2 linked regions of the Sus scrofa genome follow. The protein of the gene in region 2 purifies or fractionates together with the protein of the main gene of each other region. This does not show direct contact. Links are inferred from orthologs where the notes say so. Each region holds a gene or a part of one and is shown on either strand. Other genes may lie near its edges. The genes, in order: JARID2 and MTF2.

The links.
Region 1: the proteins of MTF2 (region 2) and JARID2 purify together in Homo sapiens (affinity purification with mass spectrometry; 3 studies listed by BioGRID and IntAct, with this or other methods). This does not show direct contact. The link is inferred for Sus scrofa from reciprocal best matches to the Homo sapiens genes MTF2 and JARID2.

The regions. Positions count from the first base shown.
Region 1 is NC_010449.5:11,572,331-11,587,723, reverse strand, and holds part of JARID2 (protein Jumonji), read right to left. Parts: intron 14,904-15,393; coding exon 14,668-14,903; intron 8,243-14,667; coding exon 7,183-8,242; intron 3,891-7,182; coding exon 3,388-3,890; intron 1,756-3,387; coding exon 1,663-1,755; intron 1-1,662.
Region 2 is NC_010446.5:124,064,916-124,080,308, forward strand, and holds part of MTF2 (metal-response element-binding transcription factor 2), read right to left. Parts: intron 14,483-15,393; coding exon 14,284-14,482; intron 14,149-14,283; coding exon 14,067-14,148; intron 9,504-14,066; coding exon 9,408-9,503; intron 9,174-9,407; coding exon 9,073-9,173; intron 8,685-9,072; coding exon 8,536-8,684; intron 6,407-8,535; coding exon 6,311-6,406; intron 4,494-6,310; coding exon 4,425-4,493; intron 3,598-4,424; coding exon 3,474-3,597; intron 1-3,473. UniProt on the Homo sapiens protein: Polycomb group (PcG) protein that specifically binds histone H3 trimethylated at 'Lys-36' (H3K36me3) and recruits the PRC2 complex, thus enhancing PRC2 H3K27me3 methylation activity.

The sequences.
Region 1 (15,393 bases), on a different chromosome or scaffold from region 2:
CGTCGGCCCCCACCCTGCTGTGCGGCTCCTACGGAGAGGGACAAGCCTGGGGGTGGCCAGAGGCCCCTCGTTGAGAAGAAAAGTGACAGCATCATAGGCATGGGTCTCTGAAAAGGACATCCTTACAGATAAGGGACAGGGGAGCAGTCCGAGGGGACAGGGCCAGGCCAGCCCTACGGACCGTCTGCCGAGACTCACGCCACCTCTGCGGGGAGGAAGGGCACCATCGCTAGGTGGGGGCAGCGCAGCTGGTGACCCCGGGCCAAGGACAGGCCCAGCTCTCTGCAGGACCCAGAAGTTCGCCAGACGAAGACCAAAAGTTTGGATTTTAGCAAACCTTCCCTTTGTGTTTAAATACTATGCAACCGCTAAAGCAAAACCCAGACTTTTAAGGAAAATTAATTCTCAAGCAGGAAACTAAAGCAGGCCAAACTTTCTTCACAGCAAGCAAAGTAACAACCCTGCACCTCTGGAGACTCCGACAAAGACGTGTGCTAGAAAGGGTAGGACAAAGGTCCCGTTTTCAGCTCGGAGGTTCAGCCCCCGAGAGTCACGTTCCTTTCCTCTGACGTTTCCCCCACAAATGGCGCGAGCGCTCCAGAAGCAACTGTCGTGGCCACACGTGTTCCAGAATCAGAGCCCTGTGGATATCAGGGTTGATGGAACGTGGCTTTGGCAGGGTCAAAACTGGCGGACAGGGTGGGGGTCAGGCCACTGCATGCTGTCCACAGATACAGCCCAGGGTACAGAGCTCGGGCAGGCCATGCCCACCAGCAGAGACCTGAAGCCTGAGAAGAACGACAAGGGGGCTAAAATCAAACTCGCGCCCCGCCAACCTGGGAACCAGACCTGGCACTAGAGTGGGCCCTCCTGGGCTACCAATGGCCACCGTCGGAGGTGGGGGTCCACATGACACAGACAGAGGGCAGGGGGACCGGGACCAGGCAACCTGGACTGAGTCCAGAAAACCCAGTCCCAGGAAACCCGGTCAGATCAGGGCCTGGGCCCTGTGGAGGTCAGCTCGGGGTTTACCTGGAGGATGAGGCATAGCTCCTCGGAGATGACAGGGCCTGAAAGCAGCTGCACACCACAAAAGCCAAGGCTGCGGCCCCCTCTCCCCTCTCCCTGCGGGAGTGGTGGGAGGAGCCGTCTCTCCCTGGACAGGCCCCCCTCCGACGGCATCGGGGAGCCTCTGGCCATGTGGCTGGGAGCTGCCGGGGGATGTAAACAAACAGACCGGGGCCCTGGCCCTCTGTCGAGCCTCACACAGCCCCTAATTGGGCTCTGCAACCTCACGCTAACTCCAAGAGGAGAGCTGGCAGGAGCACAAAAATGGCAACCTGCCAATCCCATTACATAAAAAATAGGAGAGGAAAAAGCACAACTGTGGTTCCAAGGGATTGCAAACATTCTCTTGCGTAACAGGCTCCCGGGCCCGGGGTGAGAAGGGGCGAGAGAGGGCGGCGGCTGGGCAGGCCCGCGCCGGGAGCGCCCCGCTGGCTGCGGCCTCTGGTCGGGCGAGGCGGGGACAAGCCGGAGGTGTGGGGGGGGCGGGGGGGCCCTCCCTTGATTATTCCTTTTCGGAACCTCGACAGCTCGGATGGGCAGGGGTGAAAACCAGGACAGCGGGGCGGGCCGCCCACGCCCCCCGGCCGCACTCACCTCGATCTCCGCGGGGGCCGGCTCCTTGCTGAAGCACATGTTCATGATATTTCTAGCTGTTCGGTAAAAAGTCGTTAAAGAAACAGATCTTCCCTGAAAAGAAAGCAGAAATGAGGTTGCGCTTAAGAAAGAGAGCGGAGGCGGGACCCCACAGCCAGCCAGCCGCCAGGTGTCCCTGTCCTATCGCCGTGACCGCGGGCCAGAGCGCGGAGCGGACCCCAGCGGAGCCGGGGGAAGGCTGCCTCTGAGAAGGACCGCCAGTGCCGTCCAAGGAGCCGGGGCCCAGCAGAGATACTCGGGGTGACTCCCACAGCCGCCCTGACGGCCGGCACGCCGAATGAGCAGCCTGGCCCCATGGGCCTGCAGGGGACAGGAGCCAGCCCTGTCCTCCCGCAGGCCCTCAGCTTACTGTCGCCCCTGATCAGGAGCCTTATGTCACCCCGGGGCACACACTGTTTTCGAGGCAGTCCCGGGAGGTGCCCAGCCTCCCCACCTTCGTGCCCCACGATGGTGGAAGTAGCTGCTGAGGGCCTACTGTGTACCAGGGACAGCTCTGCAGAGAGGGCAGCACACCCCCTAAGAGCCGGGTGGGGGTACTAGGGACCAGGAACCAGAAGCCGGGGGCAGGGCTGCAAGGCAGGTGGCCTTCATCCGAGGGGGTCAGGGAAGGCGTCCCTAATGAGGAGACCCTGGAGAAGCCCCAGGCTGGGGGCAGATCCTGTGCCATCTTCTTGCCTTTGGAGGGCCAGTCAGAACCAGCAGCTCACAGCCTCTGCCCTTGGCGTAGGCGCTCCAGCTCTGTTACGGGTTCTGACTAAAAGAGAAACTTGCATACAGCTCCAAACTGCTCCTGATGTGCTTGCTACCCCTTACAAAAAACCCTGTGATGACCGTGAGGGACCAGATTTTCTGTCAATGAAAACAGAGTTTTTGTTCCCAGGCTCAGAACCTGGAGAGCCTCAAACTCCTCACGGCCACCAGCCGTCACCAAAACAGCCCAATTCAATTAGATTTTCATGATGGGAACCAAAATTATTTACAAAGCACGTCTTAAAAAACAAAAACAAAAAAAAAACACCTTACTGGTAAAACTGCCCTTAAAGCAAATGTAACAAACTAACAAAAAGAGAGTAAGTAACTCATTTCAGGAGCTGGCCTTTTGAAATCACAGGATTTAACAAGCAGCTTCATTTCAGGATAAACTCTCGAGCAAACATTCAGGCAACACCCCAAAAGTGCTCCTGCCGCCCTCCTGCTGCCTCCAGAAGCCACCTGGGGGGCCAGTCTCTGCCCCCTCCCAGCCCGGAGAGGGGCAGTTCTGCTGACACAGAGCCAGGCTGCCAAGCGGGAGTCACCAGGACCCTGTTTCCTTGGGGTGGCTGGATGGCGGCGCCACCTGGCTCAAGTGGGGACCCTTCCCACACAGCTGGTTCCCACGGAGATCCGCTGTGATGGACGGGAAGGAGCCGCACGGGTCTGGGCCGGAGCGCGCGTCCGAAAAGCCCCAGCCCAGGCAGAGAGGGTGGTGCCCAGGCGTGCGGCCGCACATACACCCTCTCCCTCTCCCCCGCTGCCCCCAGCCAGATGCCCAGAGGCCTCGTCCTGATGCCCAGGCCCCTGAGACTGCAGGCCCTTCTCCATGTGAGGCCCACTCCCAGAGCCGGCCGCCTGCAGCCCTGCCCGGCCAGGCACCTGCGGCCTCGCGGCCCCGGCCCGCCGGCCTACCTTGTATATGCACTTGTGGAAGTCGCTGAGGATGCCTTTGTCCTCCTCCTCCTCCTTCGCCACCTCCTTTTCCTGAGCAAAGAGTCTCCGCCGGCCCGTCTTGAGCTGCGCGGGGCCCACCTCCTTCAGCTTGCTGCGGAAGCCGTTCCTGTGGGCCACGCCGTTGATGAGCCCGTTCTTGGGCTCGAAGCGGGGCAGCGGGTGGAAGCGGTTGTAGTCCTGCTCCGTGTGGCCCTCCAGGGGCCCCTTGCGCCGCTCCAGGCTCTCCTTCTCCATGAGCACCTCCTTCTCCAGGCGCCGGTGCTCCTCGGGGGACAGGGAGTCGTAGGAGAGCAGGTACTGGCAGTAGGCCTCCTGGAGCTTGGCCAGCCGGTCCTGGGCGGTTTTGGGGATGCGCAGCATGTCTGCTAGTTTGTTCCACTTTTTGAGGTCAGTCACTTGCTGCATGCCGCCCATCTCGTTAATCAGCCGGAAAAAGCAGGCCAGGTCGAGCTCACAGCCTCCTGGGACGGCGAGGGGAGAAAACACAGGGACAGTGGGTGAAGAGGCCCGTGAATGAGAGCGCCTTCTGTTACCTGGCAGGCCACAGGTGCACGGTGCCCACCACGAGCCAGGGACGCCGCTGGGCCCTGGGGTCAGCATGAACAGTCTCGTAGTCCATGGAGAGGCGGAGCTTAGAGCATCCTGGGCGCGGGGAGGATAATGTCAGGACAGGCTTAGGGGCTGGCAAGTAATGGGGCCACCGTCCTAGGAGGGATAGTCAGGGCAGGTGACCCCAAGGAGGGGACACTTCCAGAGGCCTGAATGGAAGGCGAGCTGGCCACACAGACCTGCTGGCAGGAGGAGTCCAGCGTCCCCTAGAGTAGGGGTGGCAGCTACAAAAGGTCCCCTCCAGCCCAGGAAGCAGGTGGTGGTAAAGGAACAGGGCAGCCCTGTGGGGCAGCAGGCTCTGGGGAGCGGCGGCATCTGGAACAGACATGATGTCAGAAATCGCACACACACAGCCTGTGCTATGAAGGCCGACCCCCTGCCAGGAGCCCCCGCCTCTGCCCCACTTCCAGGCAGCAGGCAGTACTTCCCCGAGGGCAGGCGGCAGTCGGCCTGTCCCTGAGCGCTTCCCCGCTGCTGCTCACGCAGAGGAACGCTTATCCCAGAAGGTGTGTGGGCTGGTTTTCAGTGTCCCTTGATCAAACCGTACAAAGCACATCAAAACCCAAATATGTCTGAGTGCCTGCAGTGACTTGTCTTGATGGGACCTGGAAAATTAACCTCCCTTTAGCCAATGGGTGTGGGGGGGAATCTTTCAGAATAAATCTCTTCTGGCTATTAAGAGGTAAATACACCACAAAATGCTAGATAAGCAAAAGAAATATTAAGAATATTCAGATCTTTGGAGAGTGAGGATAAACTTGTATAAAATAAATGAGGAGTTCCCGCTGGGGTGCGATGGGTTAAGGACCTGGTGCTGCTGAGCTTTGGCACAGGCCGGGCTCCCAGCATTGCCAGGGTATGATGGAGCAGCAACCCGAGTTCATCTACTGTGCTGGGTGGGATGCTGGCACTGGCTGGCTGTGGTCAGAGGAGCAGTGGGGGCCACATCAAAGAAGAAACTCACCCTGACCTTGGCGGGGAGGGACCAACAGCTTGAGACTCTGGGGCTCTGGGCCCTGGCTGCCCGCACATTGCCTGGACTTGCCACGGTGGAGAAGGAGCTGAGTCAGCCCACTGTGCCCAGGAGCTCAGACCAGAAGGGAGGCAACCCATACTTTGGTTTTTATTCTCCAAGTCGATGGCTGTAATCCAAGAGCGCTGGAAACTGTACCTCCAAACCCGTTAGTGCACGCCTCACCTGCTGCCACGAAGCCCCTCTCAGGGCCATGGGGATGCTTCGAGACCAAGCGCTGCCCTCCCAGAGAAGGCGCACCCGTTCCATGGATGCTGGAAATTCCTGCACAGCTCCTGGGTCCCCTGCACTGAGGGGAGGCCGAGCTCAGAGCCTCTTCCGGAGGCTGACGCTGCCTCACACCTCAGGCATGAACACACACACCACAGTGTCACGTCCTCGTGGCTTCTGTGCCACGGGAGTCAGGGTTATGGTAACCTACTCTCAACAGAAGATGGCCGGCTGCCCTCATGATGTCCCCGAATGGTCCGCCTGTCCCCAGAAGACCCACCATCCCCTTAGCAGGGCGGGGAGCCAGCATGTCTGGATCACCCAGCTGAGACTGCAGAGAACAAAGCACCAAGCTCCCAAGATGCTGTCACATCCTCAGCCTGTTCCCACAGCCCCAGGTCACCATGCATCACATCGCCAACAGGGGACCAAAAACCAAGAATTCTTGCAACGTGAGTGAGTCTCCGTGCCACTGAGAGGAATAACGAAACCTTCGGCTCACGAAAAACCCCTGCCCCCTGCCAAAACTCGACACCTAAATAAATGACTAAGAATGTCTCCTCTGCTCCCTGCCTCTGAAAAAATCAGGCTTTTTCAGGAGTTCCCACTGGGAACCCAAGTATCCACGAGGGTTCGATTCCTGGCCGAACTCAGTGGGTTGAAGGATCTGGCGTGGTCATGAACTGCAGTATAGGTCACAGACTCGGCTCAGATCCCGCATTGCTGTCCCTGTAGTGTAGCCAGCAGCTGAAGCTCTGATTCGATCCCTAGCCTGGGAACTTCCATATGCCGCGGTGCAACCACTTAGAGTAAAAATAAAAAATAGAAAAATAGAAATAAAAAATTAACCATGAAAAATCCAGCTCTTCGAACCAGAGGCAAGACACACCCTGTTCCTGTCACAGGTCTAGAGCCAGAAAGAAGCGCGTGACCTCAGCCAACTGACCCAACTGCAGGGCCGCTCCTCCCTGACAGAGTGAGTCGATCCTGGAGGTATGAGAACCAGGACTGTAAGAGGCAGATGGGAGCTCCAGGGGGGCTGTGAGAGGGCTCTGCCAGGGGGCGGGGGTCTCCACGACACCCGGGTATACATTTACAAAAGGAGTCTCTGGGGTGAGCTTTGTCTGGGTGCCAGCCAGAGCTGGGCCCGCTCTCAGGAGTTTACACGTGGTTTCCCAGAGCTGATAACGAGGGCCCAGTTATCACCCAAAAAACTGAAATGAGTTATCATTAGGAAAAATGATAGGACAGGAAAAACGATTGGGCAGTTATCATTAGGAAAAATGAGAAATTAGCTGAAAAACGAGAAACTGGCTCCTACCCCATCTGTACAGAGTCCTAACCTCAATGCCACAGAGGTGACGGTATTTTAGACCCAAGATCTTTAAAAGCATAAGTAGATGAGGTCATGGGGTGGGTCCCAGCCCAACAGGACTAGGTAACAAGGAGTGTGTGCACAGAGCAAAGACCACGCGAAAACACACAGAAGACAACTGCCGAGAGCCAAGGAAAGTCGCCTCAGAGAGGCCTGGCCACACACTGCTCGCAGATGTCCAGCCTTCAGACTGAGGAACCTCCTCCTGCGGGTCAAGCCTCCCCTCGTGCAGTACTTGGGTTAAGGCAGCCCCAGCAGAGCAATGCACCGTTCTGCCCCTCCCTCTGGATCCTGCTGGGCCTGGTGACCCTGCAGCTCCCTGCTGCAGGTGATGCCCAAAGTGAGGGTGGAGGGAGGGGCGGGGCCTGGGACCAACCCTCCTCCTGCCCAGAGCCCCCTGGACCAAAAGAAAGGCGGCCTTGGACTCCTCCTGGGCCAAGAAGGAGCCCAGCCAGGATGGAGCTGGTGCAGGCGTGGGGGCGGCCACCAGGGGTGCTGGGGCAGGACATGGGGCCTGGCGCCTCACCTATGAGCGGGAGCTCGTCCATGGTGATGCCCTGAGATCTGAGGTGCTTCTTGATGCAGGCCAGCCGCTGCACGTTGGGGCCCCAGCGCCGGCCCAGCTTGTGGATGTGCTGGATCTGCGTGACGAAGCGCATCTCGTCGTTGAGCTTGCACTCGGGCCGCCAGTCCGGGGGCGGGATCACCCTGCACATGCCGTACTTCTCCACCTGAGGGCGCACCGACTCGATGTAGACGAGCGGGTCGTGGAACTCCTTGGCCGACGGCCGCAGTACGGGGATCTCGTCCATGGCCGCCCACCCGGCCCGGCCGGCCCCCTTCTCGGCCTTGGCCGCCGCCTCGTGCGGCCGGGGCAGGGGCTCCGATTGCGAGGTAGAACGATGTTCACAGGGGGCGTCCGGCTTGCTGTGTGCTTGTCTGCCCGGCGGGCCCTTGCCGGCCGCTGCCCGCTTCGGCCGGTTCCTCTCCAGGCTCCGCTCGGGCACCTCCTTCTTCACGTGGCCGCCAGGCGGCGCCTTCTCGGCAGGGGCTGGGGCCGGGGCTGGGGCCGGGGCCTGGGCTGAGGCCGGCTTCCTGCCGGGGCCCTCGGCAGCACCCGCCGCCCCCTTCATCTTCTTCGGGGGTGACTGCGGCTTGTCGGCCGGGGGCGCCTCTTCCAGCCTGCGCTTGGAGTTCCGCAGCCCCTCCCGCAGCTGCCGCCCCCCCACCTCCTTAGTGCATGACTTTGGGTTCAACCTGCCACTGACCTTGAGGCCATTGACGGCGTGCCCGGTGGACTTGGACGCCCCCCCGAGGGATAGCACCTGTTTGCGGGTTTTTGCATTGCTACTTTCAGTTTTCCCTGAGATTGTGTGGTTGACAGCTGAACTGGGCTTGTGGTGATTGGGTTTGGTTTCCTTGACCAGTTCTCTCTTGGCTTTGGTGTATGTGACAGTCCCCTTCGTCACCGTTGCAGTGTACTTCACAGTTTTGGACGGTGAAGGTCTGACTTCGCGCATCTTTTTGGCACTGGTTGCACTTGTACCCAGAGATGACATTCGAGTGACTCCGTTGACCTTAGAAACCTGGAAGGTGACAGGAGAAGCAGAGGGGGAGAGAGCAGAATTAGTTTCAGAATCTTTGCTGACTATGCGCCATCGTCCTGCACAAAATCACACAGTCAATCGGGTGCCTCCCAGGGGGTCTCCTGGATGTGTGGTTGTTTGAAACCAGATGTTTCCCAGTGAGGACCCTCCCTGTGCCTGCCATCAGCTGTCCCCGGTTAATGACATTCACAATAGCAAGGCCCTGCCCACTGAGGGGACAGATGGGGACACACACACACCCCTGTTCCAAGACACGGTTGCTCTTTTTCGTGTGCTCCACATAGCAGCAAAATTTAAAAATCTACATGCTAAATAAAGAACAAAACAAAACGCCATGGAAAGGAAGAAACGAGAGCACTCACGTGGCTCAGACGCTGGTCTCAGGCCACGCCCAGAAGTGCAGCTGCCAACATCTGTGAGTCGGGCCCCTGGGCGCGTGCTGGACACACCTCACATCTCTGATGAAGCCAACAGGCCCCCTTTCTGCACGGGCAGCTCCCGTTTTCCCGCCCTCAACAAACACCCACATTTAAATCTATGGGAATTCGGTAAACGATCAGCCTGTCTTCACAGCTTGGGACACCAGAGTAATTTAGTGACACCGAAGTCTCCTTTATTTATAAAGAAAAGCCAGAGTGACAAAGGTGGACACTAGAAAAGCATTAATCAGTTTCCAAATAATAATGCTGGGCCTACAGTGACAGCCATGGCTGGGCTAGGCTGGGCAGATGCCACATCACAACTCAGACTCTCGGTGACCTTTGAAATGTCATTTACCATCCTGGGCACCGATTTCTCACCTGTAACATGAGCTCAAAAGATGGGATGCCAGGGTTCCCTAGGCACCATCACTTCCCAGACCGAAAATTACAGAGCAGAAACAATACCACCTTTTCTCACCAATGACCTCCAAGGAGAAGGTGCCCAGGAGGAGGGAAGTTGGCCGGCTGGCTGCACTCACGCAGAGGGACAGTTCGCTCCTGTCCACATCCAACGCGCCCAGGGCTGTGCCACTGCCCTGCCACCTGGACTAGGTTCCAGAGTTCAGGGCCTGAGTCTCAGTGACCTCCGCACCAAGACCAGTCCCAGCCCAGGTCACTGCGCCCCGCCCCTAGAGTCTCCCATCCAGCAGGTCTGGGATAGAGCCTGAGAATCCAGGTCCCAGAACGAGGTCCCAGGTGACACTGAGCCTCCCCCAAAGACCCACTCTGGAACTATGGCAGCAAACTATCAGTAGACAGTTCTAAAAATAGAAAAAAAGAAAGAAGCCACCCAGGCCTGTATGTCTTCATTCACCAAGTAGACACGGTCCCATCAAAGCCATGAATTCCTGGTGTGAGATAGGTTCCATGGCCCAACCCCAAGATGTCTGGGGACCAGGTTTCTGGGGAGGCAGCCTCAACTTCTGGACTCAGTGAGGTCCCAGGCCCCCTGGAGCAAGAGGCAAAGGGAAAGCCCAGAAACTGGAAAGCCTGGATGCACCTCCGCTGGCCACCCATGAGAGCAGCAGTTGGAAAGAGGAGACTTGAATACACAACGGGTAAGTTAAAAAAAAAACAAAAAAAACTAGTAGCCTGGCAACAATAAATTAAAAACAAATTTATAAAACCAGGAGAAGAGGCAAAGACAAACTTTCCATGATAAGTACCACTAACTTGGAATGGGACGTATGGGGAGGAATGCAAATGCCTCTAACTGTTCCTTCAAATCCTTCCACCAACTAAAAACAAAACAATCTGTTTAAAAAAACTAAAGCAAACAGTAAACTCCTGCTGAGGCTCACAGTGTCCCATCAGCCCGGTGTTCAGGGATCCACATTTTCAGAGACGAATGAACCCGCCCAGGGCCCTGGGTCTGAGGTTAACCATTGAGACTAAACCTGACCGGGATCTGGCCACACTCACTTCAGCCACCTGGACACCACCTCCTGCCAGCAGAGTCCACCGTCAGCCAGGATGTCTTGCCGAGGTTTAGGTCTGGTGCTTCTCAAACCTGGGACCCCTGTGAACCCCTGGGGAGCTTGCAAATGCCAATTCCAGACTATTTCACCACCCTTAATGGCAGAAAGATCACCTTCTTGTTTACGTATTTCTGTAAACAGAGGTCCCTGTTCCATTCCGTGGCCTGCACTTGTGCAACGTTTAATTGGTACCACTGCAGCCTCCGGAGTGGAGGAAGGCACGGTTTCATCTTCCCACCGAGCATCTCCCCGAACCACTGCCTCGCAGAGGAGGACCAAACACTAGGTTTCACCTCAACACACGCCCAGGTCACTCAGCCACGGGGCCTGGTCTGCCGCGCGTCCTAAGGAAATGCTGACACTGAGCACGGGAGGAGGACGACTGCAGTTCACTGGAGGATGGACACCAACAAAGGAGGCAGGAGGCCCACGCAGAGCCCTCCCCTGCTCCTCCAACTGCGCCCTCTCGGCTCCGGTATGGATTTCTCAATGACAATTACATCCACAGAAGCGGGCACCTCCTCCTGTCCTTTGCCTCCCCTCTGTCTCAACATCCATGGGACAGCCACAGACACCCCGTCACCCAATAAGGGAGCGCTTGTGTTGTCTGTGCTCTGGCTCTCCTTGTTCTTATTCTGTCTCAGCCCAAGCCATCTAGGATGTGCTGGTCAGACGAGTGCACAATTCCAATCTACTCTGAATGGAAGACCTTCTTCTTAAGAACTATTTACAATGGGAATTTGCCTCTCAGTTCAGTTTACTCAGGGATTTTTTAATAGACTCAAAAGTTTTGAAAAATCATTAACAAAGAGAAATCATTATTCTTTACTTTCTTTCTCACTGTCCATTCCTGAACTTGACCCTGGGCCTTATGAATATTTTTACTCATAATATATTTTACTTTAAGATATTTAAAAAACCTTCAGGTATATAAATATTGTAACTTTGTGCCCCACTCCCCACAACTGTCACCCGGCTCTGCAAGAAGTGGGGTGTCTTCGGCTTGTTCTTGGCCCACCACCACCCCGTCTCCTGTAGCTCAGGTTACACCAGGCACATAGGCCACCAGGCTTTACAGCAAACCCTCCTAGGCATGGAAGCTGCCCACAGTTCAACCAGAAATTCAACTATCAAGCTCCCATTTCCCACTAGAGGGAGCCATTGAGTCAGATGGCTCTGCCCATCCTTTCAAAGCAGAAGCTATGGAGCCCTAGAGAGACACTGTTGGCTGGGGACAGTGCCAAAGAGCCTGAATCAATAGAAGCCAATGGACAGGCAGTGAGTTGTGGATGGGGAGGGCACACCTGCTGGTTGACAGCCCCCAGGCTAGAGAGAGGTCCAAGATGGAAGTTGGTGAGCAGAGGCACAAAGCTGACGCTCAGCCCTGCTCTCCAAAAGGAACACCTAGGTCCTGGTCGGAGCCCCTGAAACTCTCTACACGTGCTCTCTCTGAAGGCCACTAAACTGAGTCACAAATACCACACCACCGACGCACAAGGCAAACTCCCCACGTGACCCGATGAAGAGCAGATGGAGCAAGACCTTGAACTTCTAGGCAGGAGAGTCTCACATGTTTCTCTCTGGATACTCCTGTTTCATTTTCTAGAAGGTTACAGAATACGCCTCATTCTTTGGTCTGAAGAGCTAAACCTCCTCTCTTCCTCTTACTCGTCCAGGACTTTCCTCAACCCCCATGCATGTGCCTGTGAGAGCCTTCCCCTCGGTACCACAGCCCACACGAGCCGTCATTTTCTTCTTCCCGTCACGGCTCAGCCTCAGTTAAAGAGGACAGCAGGTAGGCGAACCTGTCGGGCGTGGCCTAACGGTCCGCATCAGGGCTCAGCCGGCCTCTCACTTCCAGGCACTGCCCTCCTCGTGTCTGCAAACCTTCCCCGGGTGTAAGAACAGGTGCTCCACTGCTCTCAGCTGTCTCCTGCTGCGTGCAAGGCTCCTACCGCACACCCACGCCGCGTCAGGGCAGCCACTCCCGACAGCGCCACACACATGTCACCTGGCAGAGAGAGCCCTTGGCAGAATAAAGGCCGGGGGGCCGCTGAGGCCCCGCTCAAGGGGTGCACGTGCTCTGAGTCCCAGAGGCCTGGGCGTTCACAAGATCTCGCACCCTGCACCGTGGGAAGTCACGGGAGGGACTGTCCTAGCATGAAGCGCAAGTTCTCGGTGCACGGACCAAGCAGGACAAAGCCACGTCTCAGCAGCAGCGCCCCCAGCCCCACTCCATACAATCACTCATCTTTTCTTTTAGGCCAACAGAAAAAAATCCATCGTATCCATGTATTCTTTGGGCCTCCATCTTTTCTGCAGCTGAAAAGATGAAAGGTCAGTTCTGATCACTTGCATCAGACCTTCACAAAGGAACTTACAATTGGCTTTTACTGACCTCCCCCCCCCCACCAAAGTACTTAACTAATGGGATTTGATGGCATCAAAATTATCCTTTCATGTCTCACCATATCCCTGGGAGAGGAGGTGGCATCACTGGCTCCAAAAGCACAGTGGGGCCCAGGAATGTTAAGAGCTGGGCATCCTGAGCCAGCCTGTCCAGGTGGATCAGACAGGTGGAGGAGGGGATGGTTACACCCCACCTGCGAGACCTGAACCCAGACAGCCAGCCAGGCTCCCGTGGTTCCTCAGATGACAGGAGTCTGCGTGTGACACGGGCCACATGAGCGAGCTGTGGAGCTGTGGGACAGAACGATCCAAGGGCAAGGGGACCTTCTGCCCCCCTCTGCTCACACACCCAACTGGGCAAGCTCCTCTGGCTCAGACACAAAGGCACGTCCTGAATGGTGTGGGGGCTGCGCCGGGGGCTGAGGGGGAGCTTGGACCAACTAAGACGGGCGGGGTTCTCAATCTACCCTCACACGTCGAACTGAGAAAGAGGGTGCGTGTGTGGTAACGGTTCTATGTGAATAAAGTCACTGATTCGTCCCTTCCCTCTCTAGAAACCTTCTGAATTGTTCTCTTTCATAAGCAAACCTCTGGAAAAAAAGTTCTGCACAAGTGCCTCTCCAACCAACTCCGCTGGAAACGGGCAGGAGACACAAGACACCAAAGCACTGGCGCCCTCTGCTTTCTGCCTCCTGGTCTTGAAAATCGGGCACCCCAGGCAGGGGAGGCCAACTCACAATCATGTCAGGGGTTCGCACGAGGAAAACTGTGACATCTGTGTTCTCGGCGTGGCGGGCAATGTCTACAATACGCAAAAACTCCCCATCTCATCTCAAGGTCACACTGCAAAGCACGAGGTGGTGACCTGAGGACCAGGGGACATAAACATGGGATGTGGGCCTCCTCCACGCCAGCTGAGAGCCGAGCAGTATTTGAAAGCTGAAGGTTAGGACTAATGACGAGTGTACACACCCAGGCCTGTGTAAGTGCACGAATACAGTCCACACAGAGAATGATCAGGAACAAGAAAGACCGAGGGGAAAGAAGAACTTAGCAGAAACGGGAATCCCAACCTTCATCCCAATGGCCATCTTTCAGTCACTCTGCCCCTCTGCCCGCCAGAGAGTCTCCCGTCCACCTGCACCTCGCCCTGAATCAATCCACCTTCCGAGGTTACAGTCTCCCGTCTACTCCAGGGAAAATAACCCTCTGTTGCAAAAGTCCCAGTGAGCAGAGCTCACCCAAGATCCTCGTGGCTCACCGACCTTCACAACGGCTGAGAACAGGAAAAGGGCTGATGGAATGCCACCTGGCCCGTGGAAGCCTCATGGCACACCCACTACCTCCCTCCCAGGTCCTGATAAATCTCATCCAAGGTCAGGAAAACTTCCCCCACAGGATCCATGCTGTGTAACCAGACCATGAACTGCGGGCAGGGAGAGCAGAGTGCGTGGGCCTCTGCTGACCCTACAGGCGCAGGATGCAAACGCACTCGAGGCTCAGAGTCCCTCCACACCCGCCCTGCATCCCTTCACTGACAGGCCGATCGTGAGGAGCCAACATGTCACTCAAAGCAGGTAATGAGTCCAGGCCGCCCACTGGCAGCACCAGGCTGTCTGCAGAACTGGGCCAAGGTGACCCGTGGCTCCCAGCCTAAGCCCAGGACTCGTCACCTTGCACGGGGCCGGGCACTGTGGCCGAGGAGGGGTAATGAGGAGCGCCCCCGCCCCACCCTTCTAGGGCATCCTTGGCTCGTGAGTGCACAGGTGGTGGCGCAGGGAGCCGGCTGCATCCTCCGGGGGTTGGGGGGAGGCTGCTACCAGCCCAGCACGGTCCGTCTTCACATGAGGAAAAGGACGTGCACCTGTGCCCAGTCATGTTTCTCCTGCCCCCTCTCACCTCTGAGCGGCCTTTCCTCCTTTCTTGAGGCTACTGCTCACATTTAACCGGGTGAAATGGGGAGGTGGCATCTGGCAGGAAGGCTGGCACCCCATAGGCCAGACCTCATCCCCCGCACAGCAGGGCCGGGCTTTACCTGCTTCCGTAAGTCCTGAGCCGACCGATGCAGAGGCGGGTGGTGGTGGTTAGCGGCGAGCCCCTTGGCCGAGGAGCCCGTGGAGGGGGCCGCTGGGGGGTGGCTCGCCGAAGCCTGCTCCCTCCGGCCGTCGGCCCGGGGATCGCTGTGCTTCTCCTTCGCGGGAGTGGCCTCTTTGCTTTTGTGTTTCTGAACAGGTTCCTTCTCCCGTGATGACCTGCTGGAACCATTGAAAACTGGAAAAGGAAAGAGGAAGAAGAAAGTCACTGCGTCAAGTACACTGCCTGCTGCCGTGTACCCTAAATCCCCGACGATAGAAACAAAGAAAGGGCAAACATTCCGGACAAACATCCCATCTCACACGTCGAGACCCCAACCTCAAGTCAAAGTAACTACCACAAAGAATAGGAATAGTCCTAAACCCAGACAGGGAGACCCCCCTCCAAAGCTATAAATGCATCCTAGGAATTATTTACTTTCCTTGAAATAATTGAAAAATCCATATAAAAAATCCCAACCCGCCCCTCAAATGAAAAAGCGATACATACACCCCAAACACCAAGAAACAAAAAACAAGAACAAATAAACGAAAACCCACAGCAGCCCTCAGAATATCAACATCACACCTTAAACAAAAAGAGAATTAAAACAAAGAAAACAAGTAAGTCACATGCCCAGAACAGGAGGACCGCCTCATGTACAAAGGCACAGGGATCTGAAAAAATG
Region 2 (15,393 bases):
TCATATAATCTATAGTATGAATTACAAGAATCAATGTTCAAATGAACTTGAGTATTCCAACTCAATCAATACAGGCATACCTCCCTTCATCGAACCTCACTTGATTGCATGTCACAGATACTGTGTTTTTTACAAACTAAAGGGTCATGGCAACCCTGCCTCAAGCGAGTCTATCAGCACCATTTTTGCAATAGCATTATATTCAAATTAAGGTATGTATATTGGTTTTTTTTTTTTTTTTGACATGATGCTATTGCACACTTAACAGACTACGGTGTAGTGCAATTGTAACTTTTATATGCACCAGGAAATCAAACAATCCTGATTCGCTTTACTGTGATTTGCCTTTTTGTAGTGGCCTGGAACTAAAACCTGTTATCTCTGAGGTATGCCTATAATGTACATACAGTAACACACATGTTTTGAAAATACAGTTGGCCTTCAGTATCCATGGGTTCCAATGGTGAAAAATCAATCAGATATGAAGGGCCAACTATACCACATCATTTTATGTGAGGGACTAGAGTATTCTCAGATTTTGGTATCCAAAGGGGGTCTAGAATCAATCTCCCATGGGTATCATGGGACAACTGTAATTAATGTTACTTTTTAAGAAGATTTTGAATACAAGTATAAACAAAAAGAAAATTTTGTTAACCTGATTTTGAGTTAGTGACAAAATTCAACTTGCAACTCAATTTCAATTAACCAAGATTTACTACCTTAATAATTTGGAATAATACATTTTTTGTATTATTTTTGTTTCTATTACTATAAACATTTAAAAGTAAAGTAAATAAAAATCAAAGAAATATTACTAACACAAACTTTAAGTCTCTTTATCTTTAAAATCTCACTCAAAAGCCAATTACAACTACAATATTAAGATGTAAAATATTCACATAGAGAATTAAAACCTGGACTTCCATCTGTAAATAACTCTTCTGAAGATGAGATAACTAAGCTAAGAATTCTGATTTTTTTTTTAATGCAAAGAAAGCGATGAAAAGTTATTGGGAAGTCACTTGTTCTGATAATAAATTTGATGCCCACCCTCAAAATGGAAATAATCTTCAGAAAACTTTTCTGTTGTAAAGTTAAATTAATCACGTTTTTCTTAATTTTTAAATAAAAAGAGGTACACTTTTCTATTTTGACACAGAATAAGAAACTGAAATCTCTTACTTCTAAGACATTCTCTCGTTGGTTACAGAGGATAAAAATGTATCTATTGCTGAAATAAAACTTTTTCTGATATATATCAGAAGCTCAGGAGAACTGAGATACATGAAATTCATAAACTGAACTCACTTCTTTAAAAGACTAATTATGACTATTATTTTTATTTTCAGCCTCTTTAATAAACTCTAAATATTTAAGATAGCATTTTAAGCATAAAACAACTTTAGTTTTTATATGCATGTTCCCTGACAATGTGAAGTAATCAGTGCAGAATTAAATCATGTAAAATATAAAGTATACTAACAAGAACAGAGATGATCTGCATATGAAGTGCTGAAAGAACCGTAACTAGAAAGAAAGAATTTCAAATAAATGTATGAGAACATTAAATACTAAGATGACTATATGGAGTTCCTGTCGTGGCATAGCAGAAACGAATTCAAATAGGAACCATGAGGTTGCGGGTTCTATCCCTGGCCTCACTCAGTGGGTTGAGGATCCAGCATTGCTGTGAGCTGTGGCATAGTAGACTGCAGACACGGCTCAGATCTGGTGTTGCTGTGGCTCCCGGCATAGGCTGGCAGCTACAGCTCCGATTCGACCCCTAGCCTGGGAACCGCCATATGCCGTGGGTGTGGCCCTAATAAGACAAAAAATAAAAATAAAATAAATAAAATTAAAAAGGCTATAAAGAACACAATAGTCAGGTGCATACTTCTTTTTTCCATTATTAATCAGTTTATTAAAATTTATCAAGTGTACAAGTCATTCACTTGCTCTCAAATGTCATCTAAAAAAAAGAAGCTTTTAGCAGAAAACTTAACAAGAGAATTATATTCCAATTTCTAACTCAAAGTCAAAACATCTTAGCTCAACTGATTTTAAAATCTAAATATTCCAAAGGTATTTGTTTTAATTTTATGCAAATAATCTACTACTAACTTTTAAATAAATGGGCATTATGTGCTCCCTGATGCCCCATAAAACCCCAAGACGACAAAAAAAATCCTTGGTATTTTATTTGATGTAAACCTCATAAACTGCCTCATGTCTAAGAGCTACAAATTCAATAATCCTTCCTAAATTTCACATCAGTTTACATAATATTTACCTCGAAAAGTAATACATAACTAAGAGTCACACATCTAATTCCACATATTATAAAACAAATATTTTAGTTAACCTAAGAGTAGTCAATATTTGTATTTTAATAACTCTAAATAAGTGCTAAAAATAAGGTAAATATTAATGTTATTCTAGTTAGTTTCTTTTTTGTGCTACTCTGTAGATTCAAAACCTTCAATGAACATGCATTAACTTTTATACTCTTTAAAAAAAAAAAATGACTCTGTAAACCAGCATAAGTGGTTACACTTCCCAAAATGAAAAGCAAAACGAGATGCCAGAATGAGAGTGGTAATCTCCGACTCAACTCAGATAGCTTCAACTCTCCAACTACTTATTCTTCTTCTTTTTTTGGCCACACCCATACTCCCAAAAATGTGGAAGTTCCCAGGCCAGGGATCACGCCTGCACCAGAGCAGCAACCTAAGCCTTATCCTTAACCAGGATAAAGTGACAAAGCCAGATCCTTAACCAACTGTGCCACAAGGTAACCCCTTTAACTTGTTATTCTAACTCTGCTTCTGGGTCTCACTATTTCTGAAAGTCAAAGATATATATAAGGGAATACCAACAAGAGAGGAAAGAAGACTGCTGGTTACATCTCTAAATTTATAGAAAACTCAGACAAAAAGAAAGAGAAATCATAAGTAAGATACCCTCCCTTCTATTTTTTTTTTCCTTTTTTTTTGCTTTTTAGGGCCGTACCCATGGTATATGGGATCAAATCGGAGCTATAGCCACCAGCACAGCAATGCAGGATCCAAGCCACATCTGCACCCTACACCACCGCAACGCTGGATCCTTAACCCACTGAGCGAGGCAGGGGTCAAACCTGCAACCTTAAGGTTACCAGTCAGATTCATTTCTGCTGCACCACAACAGGAACTTCCCTCCCTTCTATCTTTAACTATAGTGATTTTTCACTTCAGAAAATGGAAAAATCCAGTACATTACTTCCTTCTACATTTTTTCCCCCCTCAAGTCAACAGTCAACAGGAAATGAGGGCTGATCCTGACAGCCTTACCAAAATTATTTCTCCCTAACTAAAAGTAAAACGCTACTTTAGATGTATGGCTTACATAAGTGTCTTAGTAGCTTTTAAGAAACACAAAAAAACCAAAAAAGACATCAAGTAGCTAATGAAGTTAGCTCTAAAACTACCTACCTCTCCAGGGTGCAATCTATCCCAGTTTTCATTAATGTATGTCATAAGCTCAAGTTCAGAATCAAAGTATTTCTTCTTGTGAATAACACTTAGGTTGTAAAGGCATAGGTGTGCTATATCTACCCTGGAATCCAAAAAAAAAAAAATCAAAATATACAAAAGCAATGTTTTTTGTTACTGTTTAAAAATTACACAGTATTTTCACAAACCCAGCAATTAAAAAAATCCAAAGTGAAGTATTCAGGCAAACAGAGCGTTAATATCATAAGTCATATGCACAATAAATCATTACATATGAAAAACATTAACATTTAACTTAACCTGAATACTAACTAAAAATTAAAAGATATCTGATTTCTTAAAATGCACTTAAAGAATATCTGACTTTAAGAAAAAATAACTTATAACCTAAAATTTCGTGTTTTCACTACTATATATAAGCTACAAAGTGGATCATACTTTAACAGACTTTTTTATCTGATTCAGAAGTTAAATCTTATCTTTTCCTAAAATATGTAAAACATTTAACAAAAATGTCTAAGTATGTACCATACACATTTTCAGTAAATCTCCAAAATTTTATTCATTTTACTTCCCATACCCAGCATTACTTAACTGAGGCAGAAAATTTTTTTGCATTATAAGACATTTTCTCTCTTCTACTGTATGCTATTCTGAAGACCCAAAAGGACTAGAAATTTGAGTAAGAATTTTCAAGATCTAAAAAATTTGAAAGTGACATTTTATGCCATTAGAAACTGACTGACCTTATTACTTTAGCAATAAAACTAGATATCCTTGGGGAAGACATTAGGCTTGAGGATAAATACAGGGAAAGAAAGAAAGCCAGGCATAAAAAAGGACAAATCTTTATTTAAGCCATGTAAATGTATACAGAAAGTTTCATAAAATATGGCTCTTTTTGTTCCTAATAGAAATGTCGGTACTTACCACTGTAATGGTAGACGTTTGAGGTATTCTGGTCCCGAACTGCAGACAGAGCAAATAAATGTATAAAACCTAAAGAAAAGAAAAGTACACAATGAATAATCAAGACTACATGTGAACTGGAGTTCCCGTCCTGGCTCAGCGGAAACAAATCTGCCTAGGATCTATGAGGACGCAGATTTGATCCCTGGCCTTGCTCAGCGGGTTAAGATCTGGCGTTGCTGTGAGCTGTGGTGTAGGTCACAGATGTAGCTCGGATATGGGATTGCTGTGGCTGTGGTGTAGGCCAGTGGCTACAGCTCCGATTTGACCTCTAGCCTGGGAACCTCCATATGCTGCAGGGCCACCTAAAAAGCAAAAAAAAAAAAAAAAAAAAAAAAAAAAGAGTACATATAATCATTTAATTAAAATATTCAGCAAATGCGTACCCTACAATTGACATAAGGGCTGACATACAAAGTCAAAATATAATCTCAATCATGACACTATCATTTAAAGAATTTCTTTCCCAGTAATGACAAATAATTAAATAGTTTGTATCTGGGAGGGGAAGAAGCACTATTTTTTAACCATTAAAGACTTTCAGAGTTCACACAGATTTCTGCACAGGAAGAGTTTGCAAGTGGCATGTGTGGACTAAGAACTGCAATGGCTGTTTCCACGTTCATTGCTCAGAATAATCTGGTAAAATAAGCCCAGAGGAGACAAACTGACCTTCCTAAGGTCAGAAAGATAATAAGTGACATAAGCTAAGATTTAAAACCCAGGGTCTGGAGTTCTCATTGTGGCTCAATGGGTTAAGAACCCAACACAGTGTCCATGAGGATGCGAGTTCGATCCCTGGCTTCACACAGTGGGTCAAGGATCCAGTATTGCTGCAAACTGGATGCAACCCAGATTTGATATTGTTGATTTGACCTCTAGCACAGGAACTTTCATATGCAGGCATAAAAAGACAAAATAATAAAAATAAAACCCAAGGTTTTTGATGTCATATTTAGTGCTCTCTCTGCAGGTTTTCTTCCTAGAACTCTATTTCACATTCTTCTAATCCAAAAAACATCAGATCAACCTCTAGAAATACTTTAGACCTAAGGTATAAATTGTGTGCATCAACATTTTGTGGCCTTTTCCAATTTTCTGTCACAGGATTCCTTTAAGATTTTTTAAGAGAAAGTACCAATGAGAATACTTCAGAGTACTGCGGGGCAGTAGGAGCAAGTATAATCACTGATCAAATACTTAAGTTTTCTGTAACAATACCCAAAAACACAAAAATTATGTTTTTTAAAAATTATGTATAATTTAAGTATATTATTCAGTACTTATTTATTTTTTTTGTCTGCACTCATAGCAGGTGAAAGTTCCCAGGCCAGGAAGTGAACCCACGCCACAGCAGCAACTCAAGCCACTTGCAGTAATACCACCAGATCCTTAATCCACTGAGCCACACAGGAACTCCATACGTGTATTATTCCATATTTTACTTCTAAGATGAACCTTTACAAATCACTATTAAAACTTTGAGAAATGTGAAAATGCAAACATACCACAATATTTTTTTTTTTTTTGTCTTTTTGCCATTTCTTGGGCCGCTTCCACGGCATATGGAGGTTCCCAGGCTAGGGGTCGAATCGGAGCTGTAGCTGCCAGCCTATGCCAGAGCCACAGCAACGCGGGATCCGAGCCGCGTCTGCGACCTATACCACAGCTCACAGCAATGCCGGATCCTTAACCCACTGAGCAAGGCCAGGGACCGAACCCACAACCTCATTGTTCCTAGTCGGATTCGTTAACCACTGCACCATGATGGGAACTCCTACCACAATTTTTTAAAAGCTAAAAAAAAAAAAAAAAAAAAATCGATAAAGCTCAAATGCTCTTCTCACCTGTCTCCAAATAGCATTGGCTTTTGAAGACATTGCACACAAGCTTCATGAAACCACTGCTTACATTTGCAGCATTGCAGCATCTTTAAATACCAGCTAGAAGGAAAAATTTAAGATTAAAATTACTACCTTTAAGAGGTAAAGTATTTAAAAAAAAAAAAAATTGACAAAAGTGACATGCAGAATATAGTTATAATTACAGTAACACATTTCTGGTATATTTATTGTCATATTTTTTCTCCCTCAAAAGGTTATTAATATTGACCATTTCATCCCTCCTCTCTTTTATTCATGAGAATTTATAAGCTCTTGAAAAGTACATCTATTATTTCTAGTCAACAAGTGCCTGGTTCCTACACTAGTAAAAGATCTTTGTCAAGCATGGGATTTTTTTTCACATTGATTGCCTCAGTGGTCTCTGATGTATAGAGCTATTTGTCCCATAAAACAAAGGATCATAGGCAACTTTATGCCTTCACTGTGTTTCTATTATTCTTGCTCATTATAATGAAAAGGAGTATAGCAATTTAATAAATTTGGTTAACATAACTATAAATCCAATCTAAGATTCTACCAGGTATAAAGGCTTTGTGACAGACTTTCTCTTTCAGATAGTTCAAGATGCCTAAAACTGAATCTTCAGCTAAGGATATCCTATCTTTTAAGTTAGTACGTGGTTTTAATATATTAATACCTTATTTGCCACCCCAAAAACACCTTTTATTCAAATAATTCTTTTGCTCAATAAGTGAGCCCCACATTAATTTTAAGCCATATACAGGCAAAGCCAAAACAACTACTACTAAGGTCTTTGATTCATCAAGACAACAAATACTATGTTCCAGGTACTCTGTTAGGTGCTAAAGTTAAAGTGCTAGCAATATCAAATAGTTCATGTAGTTATGGTAAAGAACAATGAGCAATCTGTTTCATAAAATAATGCCTATAAATTAAAATGCTAAGTATAAGTGAAAAAAGGAAAAAGATCAATATCTAGGTTCACTGTATCTTTTATAAGTGACTTAAAGAAACCAGACAGAATGCTTCTTTAATCTACAGGTGACCAAAAACTGAGAAATGCTATAGAAAGGTTAAACCACAAATAAAAATTCCATAAGATCAGAGACAAGGTAGAATGAAGAACTAAAAATTCATTCATTTATATATTCATTTATTCATGTTTTCATCACTGAATACCTTATATGTCCCAGCATTCTCCTAGACAGCCCCCTGTCTTAAGAGAAGCGCGGAGTCTGATAAGGAAGATTCAAGAACCAATAACTACAATTTAAATAGAGTTAAATGTAAAGTTATTCACTAACATTTTAAAAAATGTAGTACAAATACATGATGCACAATTTGACTTAATATCAACTTGTATGAAAAAAAGAACTAAAGATTTTATTTAACCACCTACAAACCCAAACTGAGCCAAAAGAACATGATAGGATGACCAAAGAGAGGTAATACAAACTTTCTTTGCAACAAAAACATAATATCCAGAACTCTAATAGCTTCATTATACACTGTCAGTCTAGTAGAAACACTGCATTTTCTAATCATGACACTCTATTTCAAAAGTAAGTTTATAGGATAAACAATGAGATCCTGCTGTATAGCAACAGGAACTATGTCTAGTCACTTATGATGGATCATGATAATGTGAGAAAAAGAATGTATATATGTATGTGTGACTGGGTCACCTTGCTATTCAGTAGAAAATTGACAGCACACTGTAAACCAGCTATGATGGAAAAAATAAAAATCATTTTAAAAAAAAAAAAAGAAGTTAACGATCAGTTTCTAAGGAGTTCCTGTTGCAGCACAGGAGGTTAAGAATCAGACTGCAGTGGGTTGGGTCGCTGTGGAGGCGTGCATTCGATCCCCAGTCTGGCACAGTGGGTTAAAGGATCCAGCGTTGCCACTCAAATTCAATCCCTAACCCAGGAAATTCCAAACGCCATGGGTGCAGTCAAAAAAAATTTTTTTTCAAATTTTTAAAAAAAGTAAATTTCTAAACATTCTTAGAACTCTTATTTAGCAAACATTCAATGATAAAGATGAATAAAACTACAGCTTCTAATCCCTCCCATTCTCTTTATTGATACTTTCATGCATTTACAATTCACTATCACTCACCCACCACAATCAGTAGCAAAAATAAACCAGACAATGTAAGCAATTAAAAATTAATCTAAGGGCATCAAATAAGTGTATTTACTTACTCTCCAGGGCCTCCACAATAGCAGTAACATTGCTGGACATTGGTTTTATGACCTGCATCCCATTCAAGATCTGCCACACTATAGGGTAATGTCTGCTTCATGACTTGCAATGCTTTGGCATTTGGTCCTTTCTTAAGTGCACCACCCCTCTATATTAGAGGGAAAAAGTTATTTAAAAGAGTGAAGGATAAAATTTTAAATACAATTCTACAATCTTCAAACACTTCTGAAACTTCTCAAGAATTTTCCACTCTAAATTTCTTACCATATCACAAACTGTTTGACCAATAATAACCTCTATTTTGTTGTCTTTTCTTTCAAACTACTGCCCCAATACCAAGATCACTATCATAAAATAAGTGCAAGAATAGCTGCAAGTCACTTAAGCTTCATTAGTCAAACAATAAGCAGCACCTCTTTCTACCCAGCACTGATTGCTCATTTCACTCAAATAAACTTTCAACGTACACAATCATTACGTTGATAGTGCCTTACAAATTCCATTTAGGGCATTAGCCCAAAACACTTAAAAGATACCTTTGTTGTTGTTGCAAAAACACACTGTCGACAGAGCCATTTTTCATCTGAATCAATCACACTGGAATCAATATGAGGTGTGTGACACAACTGATGATATCCTTAATATCAAAAAAAGCATAAAGCAAATTCTATTTTATTAATAAATACTGCAACATAATTTTAAGAAGCCATTTTAATATTCTTTTCCTACATTAACATATTTACAATGACGAACAAACTTATCATGACAGCTTTAAGTTACAATGTAAAGAATTTTTAATCATTCATCTCTAACAGAGGTGTTAGGTATATAACAAAACTTTTCCACAAGATTAAAAGCAATTAACATTTACCTTGGCCACACTTATCACATATAACCATTTCATTGGGAGCTTCTGAATATTCTTCTTGACATATTGTACAGACCATTTCCCCACTTCCAGTGGCTCCTAAAATATTTTAAATATACATTAAAAAGACAGTCAACATCCATTAAAAAGACAGAATTGTTCCATATAACAAAACTACTTTTTTGAGTCTGTAAGTAGCCAATGCTAGCAATGTCTGTTCACTAGATCATAAGGGTATCTTCTCAAGGCAAAGTACTGTATACAAAATACTATCTCTCTGCTCCCGATATGTGTTCTTCCCACCTTTAACTTAAGATGCCTACTATCTACATTCGTGATTGAATCTGTTTTTTGGGAGAGGACGTAATTTAAACTGCTCTCAGGCAGGATCCCCTACCACTCACTTCCAATATTCCCACTCTCCTGGGGGGTGAGCAAAGGGGATACTGGTGAACAGAACTACTCTTCAGATCACACACACATACCCATGTACATGTATTCACTCACCCTACACCGCCTAACATCATGAGACTAAAGAAAAGAGGCAAGGAAGATCTATCAATGACTCCTTTCTCTCTCGATGCAAAACATTTCTTATTTACTAATTGTAAAAAAGGTTGAACATCAATTATTTGAACTCTTGCTTCAGAAACCTGGATATATGATGTCCAGTAACAGACCCTAAACCAAATCCCACTGTAACAAAAGTTAGAGGTTCCACAGTTACTAATTACATTTTTTACCTGAATAGGTTAGGTTGTTTCTTCTTTAAATATTTCTATTCTAAAAACAATTTTATTCTGCAAAATTTAGAATATAATTTTATCACTCTAACACAATTATTTCCAATATTCTCTTATCAATTTCAATTTTATAGTTAAAATACTAACACACATGCTTTATTCACATATCAACAGTAAAAATTTAAATTCTGTGCTGTGAACCAAGCATTGTTACGCTCTTGATACATATTATTTTAACTCTCCAACTTATTAGATAAATATCCCGTTTATAGAGAAGAATTAAGGCTCAGAAAAATAAAAGTAACTAACCCAAGGACCCTCAGTCACAGAATATCAAGGTTAAGATTCAAATTCAGATGCACCAGTATCCATAGTCTCTCCATTGTGAGATGTTTCCTTCCATTAATACTATGCAATATTTCTTCCATCAAGGGAGTAACAAACCCGACTAGGATCCATGAGGATGCAGGTTCCATCCCTGTCCTCATTCAGTGGGTGAAGGATCCAGTGCTGCCATGAGCTGCGGTGTTCGTCACAGACGCGGCTCAGATCCCATGTTCACTGTGGCTGTGGTGTAGGCTAGTGGCTACAGCTCAGATTCAGCCCCTAGCCTGGAACTTTCATATGCCTCAGATGTAGTCCTAAAAAGCTAACAAGAAAAAAAAAATTTTTTTTCCATCAAAAGCATTTCACACTATAGTTTTCAAAAACTATTAACTTCTAATACCTGTATAATAGTCTATCCGGTGGAAAGAACCAAATTTGATTTACTACACCTCTATTCTTAGATATGCAGGCTACCATATTTTTTTTTCTTGTTTTTTGCATTTTTCCTTTTTTGCTTTGTTTCTTGTTCTCTCTTCTCTTCTCTCCCAGGCTTTGTTCACTTGGCTGGATATAGCATCCCCTAGTTTCTCAGTTTATGGCTCCAATCAGGAGAGTAACCAGACTGAGCCTAGACCCTCTCAGTCCAAATCTCCAACATCCTAGAAAAGGGCCAATAGCCCCAAGCTGGGGTAAGTGCCTGAAGTGACTCCCACTTAAACATATGGAATGGTGTGGGGGAAGGCAGTTCCTCAGAAAAGAGGGTGTAGAGTCAACAAACAACATGTATTCCTTCAGGAAACAATCCTGAGGAAGCAGAGAATTGCCTTTACTTATAAATCCAATATGAGTTTTTGACCATCAAGTTTAAAAAAACTTTCTTTGTAGCTTAGCAGCTTTCTATAGTCTCCCTTACTCTAAATCCAAATGACTATAAAGCCATTTCTATCTTAGATATGCCAAATTTTTTGCTGTTAAAATAAACTACAGTAAATTTTTATACATTTTATTTATGATTTATTGGAATAAACTGCTACAAATGAGTCTGCTGTATAATGAAAGCATATAAATTTTTATGCATTTAGTGCAACTGTCAAAGTAATACCTGAAATAAATATTTAAATACACTGCCACCAGCAGTGTATCATTTTCACAGAAACCATAACAGTATTAGGTATTAAGATTAAAATCTTTTTATAAATTTATTTAACAGCTTTAACATGATATCTCCCTGCTGCAATGCACACTTCTTTGTCTACTAATATGCCTATAAATTGTTGCCATTCATGTAAACTTTTAAAAAGAATCTTATTAGATGAGTGAAATTAATTAAGTTATTCTGGTATGTAACTATTAGCAGGTTCCTTACAGGAAGAAAACTACTAAAACTACACCATGCACTGAAACCTGCCACAATGCAATGCACTTGTCTGTTCTACACAAACTCCAAGTCACAAGTGTGCTATTTCCTGCGAGTTACAAAGAGTGAAATGGCCAAGGGGCTATTCTATCTAATTCTAAGGACAGTAAAAGGAGCCAGTGAGGCAAGAACAATACAGACCACTGAACTGATATACTGGATAGGACACAAGTTGGACAAGACCCCCTCACTTTCTATCTCTATGTACTACTGGCTTTCTTTTTCCTTTCTGGAAGGGAGGGAGGGAAGAAGACAGAAAAACAGACAAACCTCTATTTAACTACAGAAACCACCAAACAGTTGAAATGCTGAAAGGAACACATAGCTAACAGAAGAGGAAGAGAAGCAGTATAACATGGCTCAGCTCCACCAGAGACACATATTTACAAATTAAGGAAAAGGGATAGTTCTGTGTACAGGGGAATAAGATCTGTTCAATATCACTACTGCTGGAGACCTCCTATTCCTTTTCTCACAGATCCTTCAATTTGAGATTCAAAACATAAATTTAGTCCTTTAAATTGATCAGCCTCAAGAACTATAAACACTTTTAAGACATATTACTAGAGTAACAGCTATTGAGTTCTCCACCTAATCCCTGAGTGACATGTATAAAGACGGCAATTAGAACATGCCAATTCCTTTATACCAAAACTTTTTCATTCTCTAAGAAAAAGTAAGAGTGAAATCAAGAAATAGAACACAGCTATAACCTACCAAAAAGCCACACTGGGATTCGAATTAAAAACCCAACTGGGAGTTCCCATCGTGGCTCAGTGGCTAATGAATCCCACTGGAATCATGAGGTTTCGGGTTCGCTCCCTGGCCTTGCTCAGTGGGTTAAGGATCCCGAGTTGCTATGAGCTGTGGTGTAGGTTGCAGACGTGGCTCACATCCTGCGTTGCTGTGGCTCTGGCGTAGGCCAGCGGCTACAGCATCGATTCAACCCCTAGCCTGGGAACCTCCATATGCTGTGGGTATGGCTCTAGAAGAGGCAAAAAAAACAAAAAACAAAAAAACAAACAAACAAAAAAAAACAAAACCCAACCGATAGATACTTTAAAGAATTTATCTCTCCTTTCTACAAGAGGAAATATAAAAACACCTTAGTGCAGGCCCATTAACCCATTAAAAGGAATACCAGGAGTTCCCGTCGTGGCGCAGTGGTTAACGAATCCGACTAGGAACAATGAGGTGGCGGGTTCGATCCCTGCCCTTGCTCAGTGGGTTAACGATCCGGCGTTGCCGTGAGCTGTGGTGTAGGTTGCAGACGCGGCTCGGATCCCGCGTCGCTGTGGCTCTGGCGTAGGCTGGCAGCTACAGCTCCGATTCAACCCCTAGCCTGGGAACCTCCATATGCCGTGGGATCGGCCCAAGAAATGGCAAAAAGACAAAAAAAAAAAAAAAAAAAAAAAGGGGGAATACCAAAAGTGGGGTTTTTAGCATGCTGTTAAAATACTCAGATTGTGAATACTTATTAATATTCATAATTTTTAAATATATAAAGCACTCTCCATGAAAGATACCTGAAAAAAACACTTTTATTTAGCAGATTCAAAGGGCATTCAGCAATTACAGTTTGCAAAAATAAAAAGCATTACAAGAAACATACCTAAACCAAACCACAACATACTTGTATTCATTTTTACTTGCACCTAAATATAACCTCGTTTTCCCATCTAAACATAAAAGAGTAATTAAGCAATAATTTTAAACCACTATTATTAATGAATATTTCTAGTACTCTAAACCTATTTAATAAGTCCTAATTCCCCAAAACATCTGGCAAATAGTATGTTCTATATACATTAGCTCCCTATACCACTTTAGACTAATAGAGGAAAGTAACAGTTAAGATGAAGTCCAAAGTGTTACTTGTTTTAGTAGCTAAAAATTTTTTTTCAAAGTTCTTAGAAAGGTCCTAACAAGAATTTATACATGTGCATCAGAATGTATACATCTGCCCTCTAATCTACCAGTAATTCTTGTTCTTATGGTTTATAATACAGATTATAACTCTTTGAAGACTATGAAGAATACTGATTTAGCCTCTCCTCAAAACTGATTCTGAGTTATCCTAATACACTGTACTAAACAGACAACACTAGAAAATGACAAGCTGAAGAAAATACAGTTTTAGTGAAAATCATGTCCAAGAGAAATAGTAGCACCTGCCTGTTTGAATGTCCTTCCAGAGAACCCAGGATTTAGAACTGTCTTCAAATATGATGAAGCAGCTCTGTTTCAATATGTTTATCTGAAAAACAGAGGGAAACTTATGAAGATTTCTTTTAAAAGCAAAAAAACTAAAATTTAAATTTAAATTCAAGATTATTAAAAGTTAACTGCAAAAAAAAAAAAAAAAAAAAAAAAGATACATTAAGGAACTTGCCTTTTTGATAGTTCCAAGATAAAACAAGCCATCTGACCATCTAGCTAGGACATCCTGACCCTCTTCAAATTTACATGCTGGCTTTTTGACTTTATGTCCATCCTGTAAAGACAGCTTGGTCAAGGATGCTGGGGTCTTTTGGTTTCGGCGTAAAGGAGACCGCTTGTGGACCAGTGAATTACCTGCCCCTGTAGAGTCTCTGTTTAAGAAATAAAAAGCCATATATGAGACTAATTTCCTTATAGAGGTTATTTTATATCAATAATGTATTTCATGTATTAATCAAAAATTTTTCTTTATTAAAAATCTTAAATTTAGGGGAAAAAAAGTAACAAGTACCTCACATCACAAAAACTCCAGAAACAAAGACGTTTAAAACAAAATGGTAGCAGTTCTCAATATTCATTCATTGTTAGCCCTAAGTGGGGTCAGGATCAAGCAACCACTGCAAGGTAATATATCCAGCGCAGCTACCACCAAAATGATACCTTTAAGTTTTAAGTGGGGAGGCCATGGTCATGACCAAAGGATGCCTTAAATCTCACAGTTGGGTTTAAACTAAAAGAAGTTGCATGGCATAATTTCATAAGTACTTGATAAAGAATAAAAATGATTACGACAACAGATACACACTACTATATATAAAATGGATAAACAACAAGGACCTACTGTATTGCGCAGGTAACTATATTCTATCTTGTAACAACCTATAATGGAAAAGAATCTGGAAACAAATATATATACAAATGTGTGTGTATAAAACTGAATCATTCTACTGGACATCTAAAACACGGTAAATCAACTATACTTCAATAATTTCTTTTTTCTCTTTAGGGCCACACCTGCAGCATATGGAAGTTCCCAGGCTAGGGGTCAAATCAGAGCTGCAGCTACGTGCCTACACCACAGCCACAGCAACGCCAGATCCGAGCCACATCTGCAAACTACATCACAGCTCGCGGCAATGCCAGATCCTTAACCCACTGAGCGAGGCTAGGGATTGAACCCAAATTCTCATGGATACTAGTCAGTTTAGTAACCTGCTAAGCCACAGGGGAACTCCCTATACTTCAATAAAAATTTTTTTTAAAAGATTATGCCAGGGAGTTC